2 linked regions of the Sus scrofa genome follow. The protein of the gene in region 1 purifies or fractionates together with the protein of each later gene. This does not show direct contact. Links are inferred from orthologs where the notes say so. Each region holds a gene or a part of one and is shown in the gene's direction. Other genes may lie near its edges.

Region 1 (3,746 bases):
TGACCGCAAAGCTGGATCCTTAACCCACTGAGCAAGGTCAAGGATCAAACTCGCATCCACATGGATCCTAATCCAGTTCGTTTCTGCTGAGCCAGGAAAGGAACTCCAGACTCAAACATCTTGATGTATTTTGTTTTCCGAAATAAGCAGTAGGCTCCTTAGAATGACAGTATTTTTTTTTTTTTTTTTTTTAAAGGGCTACGTGGGCAGTATATGGAAGCTGCCAGGCTAGGGGTCAAATCAGAGCTGTAGTTGCTGGCCTACCCACAGCCACAGCAAGGCCAGATCTGAGCCGCAATCTGCAACCTACACCACAGCTGATGGCAGCTCCCCACCCTTAACCCACTGAGGCTAAGGATCGAACCCGCATCCTCATGGATAATCCAGTTTGTTATTGCTGAGCCACAATGGAACTCCAGAATCACAGTATTTGAGAGCTGGGGTTTAACTTTCTTTAACAGGATTGGAGCCTAGGGTCCAATGTCTGTAGTTCCCAACACCTGCCTTGCATAGCATAGACACTAATTAATGCTGCATATGAAGCTTCCAAACACTCTCCAAAATGTCTTACGGCACTTTCCTTAAACCTCCTCTGTGTCCTAACAAGCAGCGTATTGATGTATTTCTCCCTTACTTCCCGGCTAAGCGATTTCTAGAGTGGACAAGTTACCATTTTGATTCTCTTGGTTAGTAACACCCATTAGCACCTAACCAGGTAACAGCTGAAAAAAGATGAGGTTTCCCCCCTCCCCTACAGGATCAGCCTGGAGACTCCAAGTGTCCTGGTCTCTCCATTCCCGCAAACTTAGACTCATTTAATAACTTTCCTCTCGCATCAAAGCAGGTGCGAATGCCGGTCAGCCAAAGACCTCGAATTTCCGCGGCCCCTGGACAGGTTCTCCACCCCTCAGAAAGACGGCGAGGAGGACCCAGGCCTGTGACTCAGGTTAGCCCTTTCCCTCAAATATCACCAGCGGAGGCTTTGCCCATCTTTTTGCCGTAGACTGTTTTCTCAGTGAGCCGATGTACTCCCTCAAGTAACCGATCCCCTATTTCACTTTTCAAGCCTCCAGACTCTGCGTCCATCCGCCTCGGCCTTCCTCCCTCGGTTAACGCGACAGTTTCTCGGGGAGATCGCCCAAGGCGCGTGGCAGGGCGGTTAGGCGACCAACGGTTTCCACCGCGAGGAGGGGGGAGCGGGCAAAGCGGCGGGAACCAGTCGAGCCGGAGGCAGCCGACGTGGGGCGGGGCCAGCCCCGGGAAGGATCGCGAAGGAGCTGGGAAGCCCCGCCCTTTCCGTAGATATCTCTAGAAAGCCGCGCAGGAGCCCGAAAACAAAGAGTGCGCACGCGCGGCGGCTGGGCCCGGGCATTTTGCTGCGTCACCAGCCGCCGCCCGGCCTCACCACCCCTCGCTCGCACGCACGCACGTTCATTCTCCGTTCTCGCGCCCCTTTTCCTACACTTTCCTTTTCTCCCCGACCGGAGGAGTCGCTCTGCCCGCGCGGTGCATTCTGGGAACCCAGGTCTAGCCCGCCGCGCCGCCGCCGTCGCTTGAGGGAAAAGCGAAAAGAGGCCGCAATCGGGGAGAGGACGCCAGAGTCGCCACCGGAGAGGAGTCGACTGCCTACCAGCTGCCGCCGGAGAGGCCCGCCCACCCGTTCGCCCGTCCCCTTGCCCCGTTCACGATGTGAGTGCGACACGCCACCCAGGGAAGGTCGCCCTGGAGGGAGGCCGAGGCCGCGCGGGGGGGTGCCGGGAAGCCATCCCTTCCCCTCCCCCGCTTTCGGCTCCCTCGGCTTTTTCCCCCTCGGTAGCATTCGTTCTTGCTTGGGGGTGGGAGGTCCAGTATCCTTGTTCCGGTTACCGTTGGCGGGTGGAGGACATTTTTCCTCCAGATGTCCGCTTCCCCCATCTCTAAACCTTCCCTTTGCTTCCCCGTGCCGGAAACCCCACTTTCCCCCTTCGGCAGTGAGGGCTGCTCCCAACTCTTCGTAACTTAGCCTTAGGCCTTAATCTCCTGTGAGCTTTTGGCCACGCGGGCGCCTCGGAGGCGTGGACCCTCGTGGGCTGCCACTCCGCTCCTAGCGACCTAGGTCTGCTTCTGCCGCTGTGTGATGCTGGGACCAGGCCCGGGGACAAGTGCACCTGCGGTGGGTCCTACCCCACAGCTGCTGGTGCTCTTCGTAAGGCACCACGCGGCCCTCCACTGCGAGCGACAGGTACTGCTAGGCAACTGGAGGGAGGGAGGCCATGCTGTCGCCGCAACTTACTTCCCTCTCGGTGTCGTGATTGCCAGAGTATGGGTGTTTCCAGGCTTCTTCTTAACTCAGTCTCGCGAAGGGAGTGGAGGTTGCCAAAACTCAGCCGTTTCCCTGGTAGCGAGGCTTTACAATTGAGCAGGGAGTTCTGCACTTGTTAGAGTTGAAAGATACTTAGGGATATTTTCTGTGAAACTTTAGGTGAGGTTTCGTTATCCTATTTTAATTTAAGGATGAAACAGGTAGGTAATTGCCTTTTTGTTGCCTTAAGTTTGTTTACGTGGGGGTAATTTCAGATCTTTTAAAAGTCTTAGTTTTATGATAAAGGAAAACATTTTAACCGAGTGCGGTCTCTTGCATTGCCATTCCCAGCTTTACATTCTTTTCAGGAAAAGCCTTACCTTTTCAGATGTGAGAACTGCCTATTTTACAGTTTTTTGGTACCACGTACTCCTGAAAGTTACCTATGGAGATCAATTGAGGGGAAGAATTTTTATTTCTATAAAAAGTAATGGATTTTCAAGGGTTTACCTAGTAAAATGGTGATATTTGTGGTGAGTATATTGAATTAGATGTCTAAATGAATAAGGATACACTGTAGCCAATTGATGGAGAAGAAGGTTTGAGAAGAATGCATGTATTACTGTAAAATGACATGTTAGAATTTTGGAAGGATTTCCCCCATCCCAAGAAGTGGTATGTAATAGAAGACTTTAATCTGTGTAAAAGAACTTGTACTTTTCTTTTTGAAATTTCTATTCCAAATAATGTAGCAGGATTGTCATTTGTGAGAAAATGAATCTGGAGATAAAGCATTACCAACTTTTAGTAAACTAATGTAGCGGAACAAGAAATATCTTTATATGAAGAGATAACATGTTTAATACGGTTTGAAGTAGAAACACTTTTCAGAGATCATGTAGAATTGGTAAATAGGTAAGAAATGTTAAGTTATATAAAGAACTCAATGAAAAGTCTAACAATCAGTATTCCAAAAAGCAATCTATAATTAGAAGAATGCTATTTTGAAAATGAGTGTTTTGAAGAGACCAGGTAAATTTTACTCTGTTTAGTCAATATATGACATCTTGCAAATTCTTTAGGGGATCTTATTAATTAATGACTGAATGAATTTACAAGATGAATATTACCAGTCAGTTACTTGAGCTGGAGAAGACTTTTATTTTTGTTGTTGTCTTTTCTAGGGCCGCACCCCAAGCATATAGAGGTTCACAGGCTAGGGGCCTAATTAGAGCTGTAGCTGCCAGCCTACATCAGGGCCACAGCAACTCGGGATCTGAGCTGCGTCTGCACCCTACACCACAGCTCACAGCAACGCTGGATCCTTAACCCACTGAGCAAGGCCAGGGATTGAACCCGCAACCTCATGGTTCCTAGTCTCGGGTTCGTTAACCACTGAGCTACAGCGGGGACTCCGGAAAAGACTTCTAATGGGTCATCCAGCTCTAGAGAGAATCTGGCTGAT
Region 2 (3,646 bases), on another chromosome or scaffold:
CTGTCAATTTCCATGGTGTCTTGATCAGGTATCACCGTTCCTGTCCGTTTGAGAGTCTACCTGTTAGGAGTTGAGTTTTCCAAGGGCAAAGGGTCGGGTGGGGTTTGCCTCACTTTACACTCCTGTCCCCCAGAGTATAATTGCCACCAGGACAGCAGCTGTCTGAATTATTCCCTACTCTGCACGCAGGGCCCATGGCAGGTCCCAGAACAGTACACACTTTGAATGGGTGAGTGTGTCTAATCCCGCAGAGAAAGGGGATCCACAACGTAAACAGTGACGATCCTTTCTGAATGCAGTCCTGTTGTGTAGCAGGTAGTCATCTGTGTGTCAGGCCCAGTCCGGGCCGGGAGAGCTACAGGGTCTAGTAACAACCACAATGACAGGTGATAAATGATGACACTTGCTACTGATACATTTACTTCCTTAAACAAGCAGCCTTCAGATCTGTGACTGCCCTGTTGGTATTGTCTGTTGAACTTAAAAAGGTAACAAGCCATTTCTTTGAGTACTTAAGCTTTTGTAGTAATATAGTCAAGATGATTCAAAATGGATACATTTTGGAGTTCCCTCAGTGGTGCAGTGGGATTGGTGGCATCTCTGCAGCACTAGGACACAGGTTCAATACCCAGCCTAGCACAGTGGATTAAGGATCTGGTGATGCTGGAGCTTCAGTGTAGGTTGCACCTGTGGCTCGGATCTGATCCCTGGCCCGGGAACTCCGTGTTCCTCAGTTGGCCAAAAAAAATAAAGTTAAAAATTTTTTAAATGGATACATTTTTAAGAGTAGGTTAACACATCATCAGCACACATAAAAAAGACACGCTTCCTAGTTTGTCAGACTTTCAAGTGTCGTTTTAAGACTTTTGGATTCCGCTAATATTCATCTTTTTGATCAAGTATTTATAAAAATCCCTGAAGCACAGGATGATTTTTCCTTACGTCATTGCATGTACTTGAAATCCCAGCTCACCTTCAGACGTTAATTGAGATCTATTTGTGAATAATCCAGTGAGGACTTTGGATTTAGTGAAATGGTCTTTTCCCCCCCTAAATTTAATTTTGCGGCATTCTTGGTTACCCATACTTACATATTTGGTTCTTTTCCTAGGTAAGTGGAGGTATACTTCGAATTTTTCCAGAAGGCAAAGCCCAGTTTGCTGACATTGAACCCAAATTTGATAGACTGCTGTTTTTCTGGTCTGACCGTCGCAACCCTCATGAAGTACAACCAGCATATGCTACAAGGTAGTGTTCCTTTTAAGAAAAACTTGGTAAAGAGCATGGCAGGATAGGAGGGGATACCTAGGATAAAGCTGAGCATTTTCTAATGAGTATCTTCCTGTTCAGAACCGGTTTTAATTTGAATAACTTTATAAGATTGATTCATAGTACTAAATGTGAGTTTCTTTGCATCGCCTCTCCTGGTCTGGGGAAAGGCAGGAGGCACAGGCCCTCTCACCTTTCCAGCCCCATCTCCTTGTATTGTGCATCTCTTACCTACTGCCATTCACTTGGGGATAAAGATGAGATGGAGAAGGGAAGGAGCTGTTCAGGAGGGAGTGGGAGGCAGAGAGATGATGTAGAAGAATGGTGCTGGATAAGTAACCAGAATGAAAGTGGAGAGGAAAAAAGCGGGGGGTGGGGAAAGGAAAGTAGAGAAGAGGTTGCCATGTGTGGGAGTTAATGTTAGAAAAATAACCCTTCAGCTTTAATAGTAAGCATGTGTTAGGCTTACAATACGTGTTTTCCACGTTACACTTTTTCTGCAGAGTTCATTTTCTAAACCTATTAGGTTTAATGTGTTCTTAAATTTTTTTTCTTTTACCATGTACTATGACCAAATTCAAATGTTGACAATTAAAATGTTAGATGTTATCAAAATAAATAGTTGTTTTTAAGAAAAGTGCTCCTTTTTAAATACCCGTTTTTAACTCTATCAGGGACTTTGAGTATTATGATAGTGAATTACGGGCATGCAGTGCTTAGACCTGGTGAGATACCCTTAGCTGTGCCGGGAGAGACGCTGGCTTTGATAATGACCTTAGAGCCGGGCCAGCACTCTGAAGAGTGTCATCTCTCCTTCCTCTTTCTGAGTCACTTTGCCTTCAGCCCTAATTCATATGTAAACAGCAGGCTTGGCATCGTGTGGCTAGAGTCTAAGAAGCCGTGGATGGAACTCCGGGGCTCCCGTCCAGTCACAGGCATGCGGTCCTGCATCCTCACCCTCCTCTTGGCACCCCAGGGCCCGTCTCTGTCCCTTCTTCTTCTTCACAGCCTTTTCTGACTTTCAGGGACCTTCCTTTTTATAGATTCTTGAATATGGTCTGGTTTCTAGATGAAGAGAGAACAAGCATTTTAGGTAGTAAATAAATGCCAAATGATTCTGGAGTGTTCCAGGGGTTTGGAGGAGGGAGAAAGTGGCATAAAATTGGAATTGATGGGTCCGGAGTGGCAGCTGGGACCAAAGAGAACCAGGAGCACAGCAGTGCTGGCAAAGGGGGGTGGGGGTGGGGCCGCACATGTCTGGCGCAGAGGTGGGTGGGGAGGAGGGCTCTCTTGAGTACATGGATTGGGGGGGTGCAGCAGGAAAACAGTGACACGTGGCAGGTTACAGCTATTTTCTGGGAGGGGCTTGATCCAAATATTAGAAATCTGATTACTAAGTAACTAAAAGACTGGCACAAGTGCAGAAGAGATATGAAAGTATTTGTTTCTGCACCTTCCCCATCGCCGGGGCCCCCTGAAGAAATAGAAGAGGCTGTGTTTGTAAGCGCCGCAGGCGTTCTGCCGTCAGGAGGCCAGACCTTGACCTCAGCTCTGCCCCTCCGCAGCTGCGTGGTCTGGGGGCTCGGCTCCCCCGGGTGTCAAACTCCCTGACTCTGGCTCTACTCCGCCCTTGACTCTTTACTTCAAATATGTCACAGGATTTAGTTCTGTCCTGTTTGCTGGCTCTTCATCTGATTAGTGAGATCCCCCGGGAACACTGGCCAGAATCTGCAGGATACTAATTGCTCCGTTCTGCTGAGGAGCTGTCATTTGTAACATGCTTTTTACTTCCTGGAGTGTGTACACATTCTGCGTTATTGGTACTAGAATGTGTAACTGAGTGCCCTGTGGTGTTTAATAAACCAGAGATTCTTCGTTTATTTGTGGAATGAGATATTCCAAATGAATGAAATTTTCAGAAAAATGAAGCAGAACATGACATAGTTGACATATTTAACTTTCTTGATGATTCGAGGTTATAAAACTGTAAACATTCCCCTGTGGCTCAGCAGGTTAAGAACCGGCCTAGCATCCATGAGGCTGCGGCTTCGATCCCTGGGCTCGCTCAGTGGGCTAGGATCTGGCATTGCCTCGAGATGCAGTGTAGGTTGCAGACACAGCTGGGATCTGATGTTGCTGTGGCTGTGGCTTAGGTCAGCGGGTGCAGCTCTGATTCTTAGGCGTAACTTTGGCATTACGAGTTTTAGTAGATCTTTGCATACCCCTTTCCCCCCTAGTGTGATCATTCTTACCCTATTCTAAATTTTCTTTTAGGTACGCAATAACTGTTTGGTATTTTGATGCAGATGAGAGAGCACGAGCTAAAGTAAAATATCTAACAGGTAATCATTTGGGGCCAGGGTACCCTGGATGGAGG

What was found. Proteins that work in one complex are often made in the same cells at the same time.
Region 2: the proteins of PTGES3 (region 1) and EGLN1 purify together in Homo sapiens (affinity purification with mass spectrometry; 5 studies listed by BioGRID and IntAct, with this or other methods). This does not show direct contact. The link is inferred for Sus scrofa from reciprocal best matches to the Homo sapiens genes PTGES3 and EGLN1.

What each region holds. Positions count from the first base shown.
Region 1 is NC_010447.5:22,019,284-22,023,029, reverse strand, and holds the start of PTGES3 (prostaglandin E synthase 3), read left to right. Parts: upstream 1-1,330; 5' UTR 1,331-1,687; coding exon 1,688-1,689; exon of another isoform or gene 1,690-2,221; intron 2,222-3,746. UniProt on the Homo sapiens protein: Cytosolic prostaglandin synthase that catalyzes the oxidoreduction of prostaglandin endoperoxide H2 (PGH2) to prostaglandin E2 (PGE2).
Region 2 is NC_010456.5:59,161,941-59,165,586, forward strand, and holds part of EGLN1 (egl nine homolog 1), read left to right. Parts: intron 1-1,111; coding exon 1,112-1,248; intron 1,249-3,543; coding exon 3,544-3,611; intron 3,612-3,646. UniProt on the Homo sapiens protein: Cellular oxygen sensor that catalyzes, under normoxic conditions, the post-translational formation of 4-hydroxyproline in hypoxia-inducible factor (HIF) alpha proteins.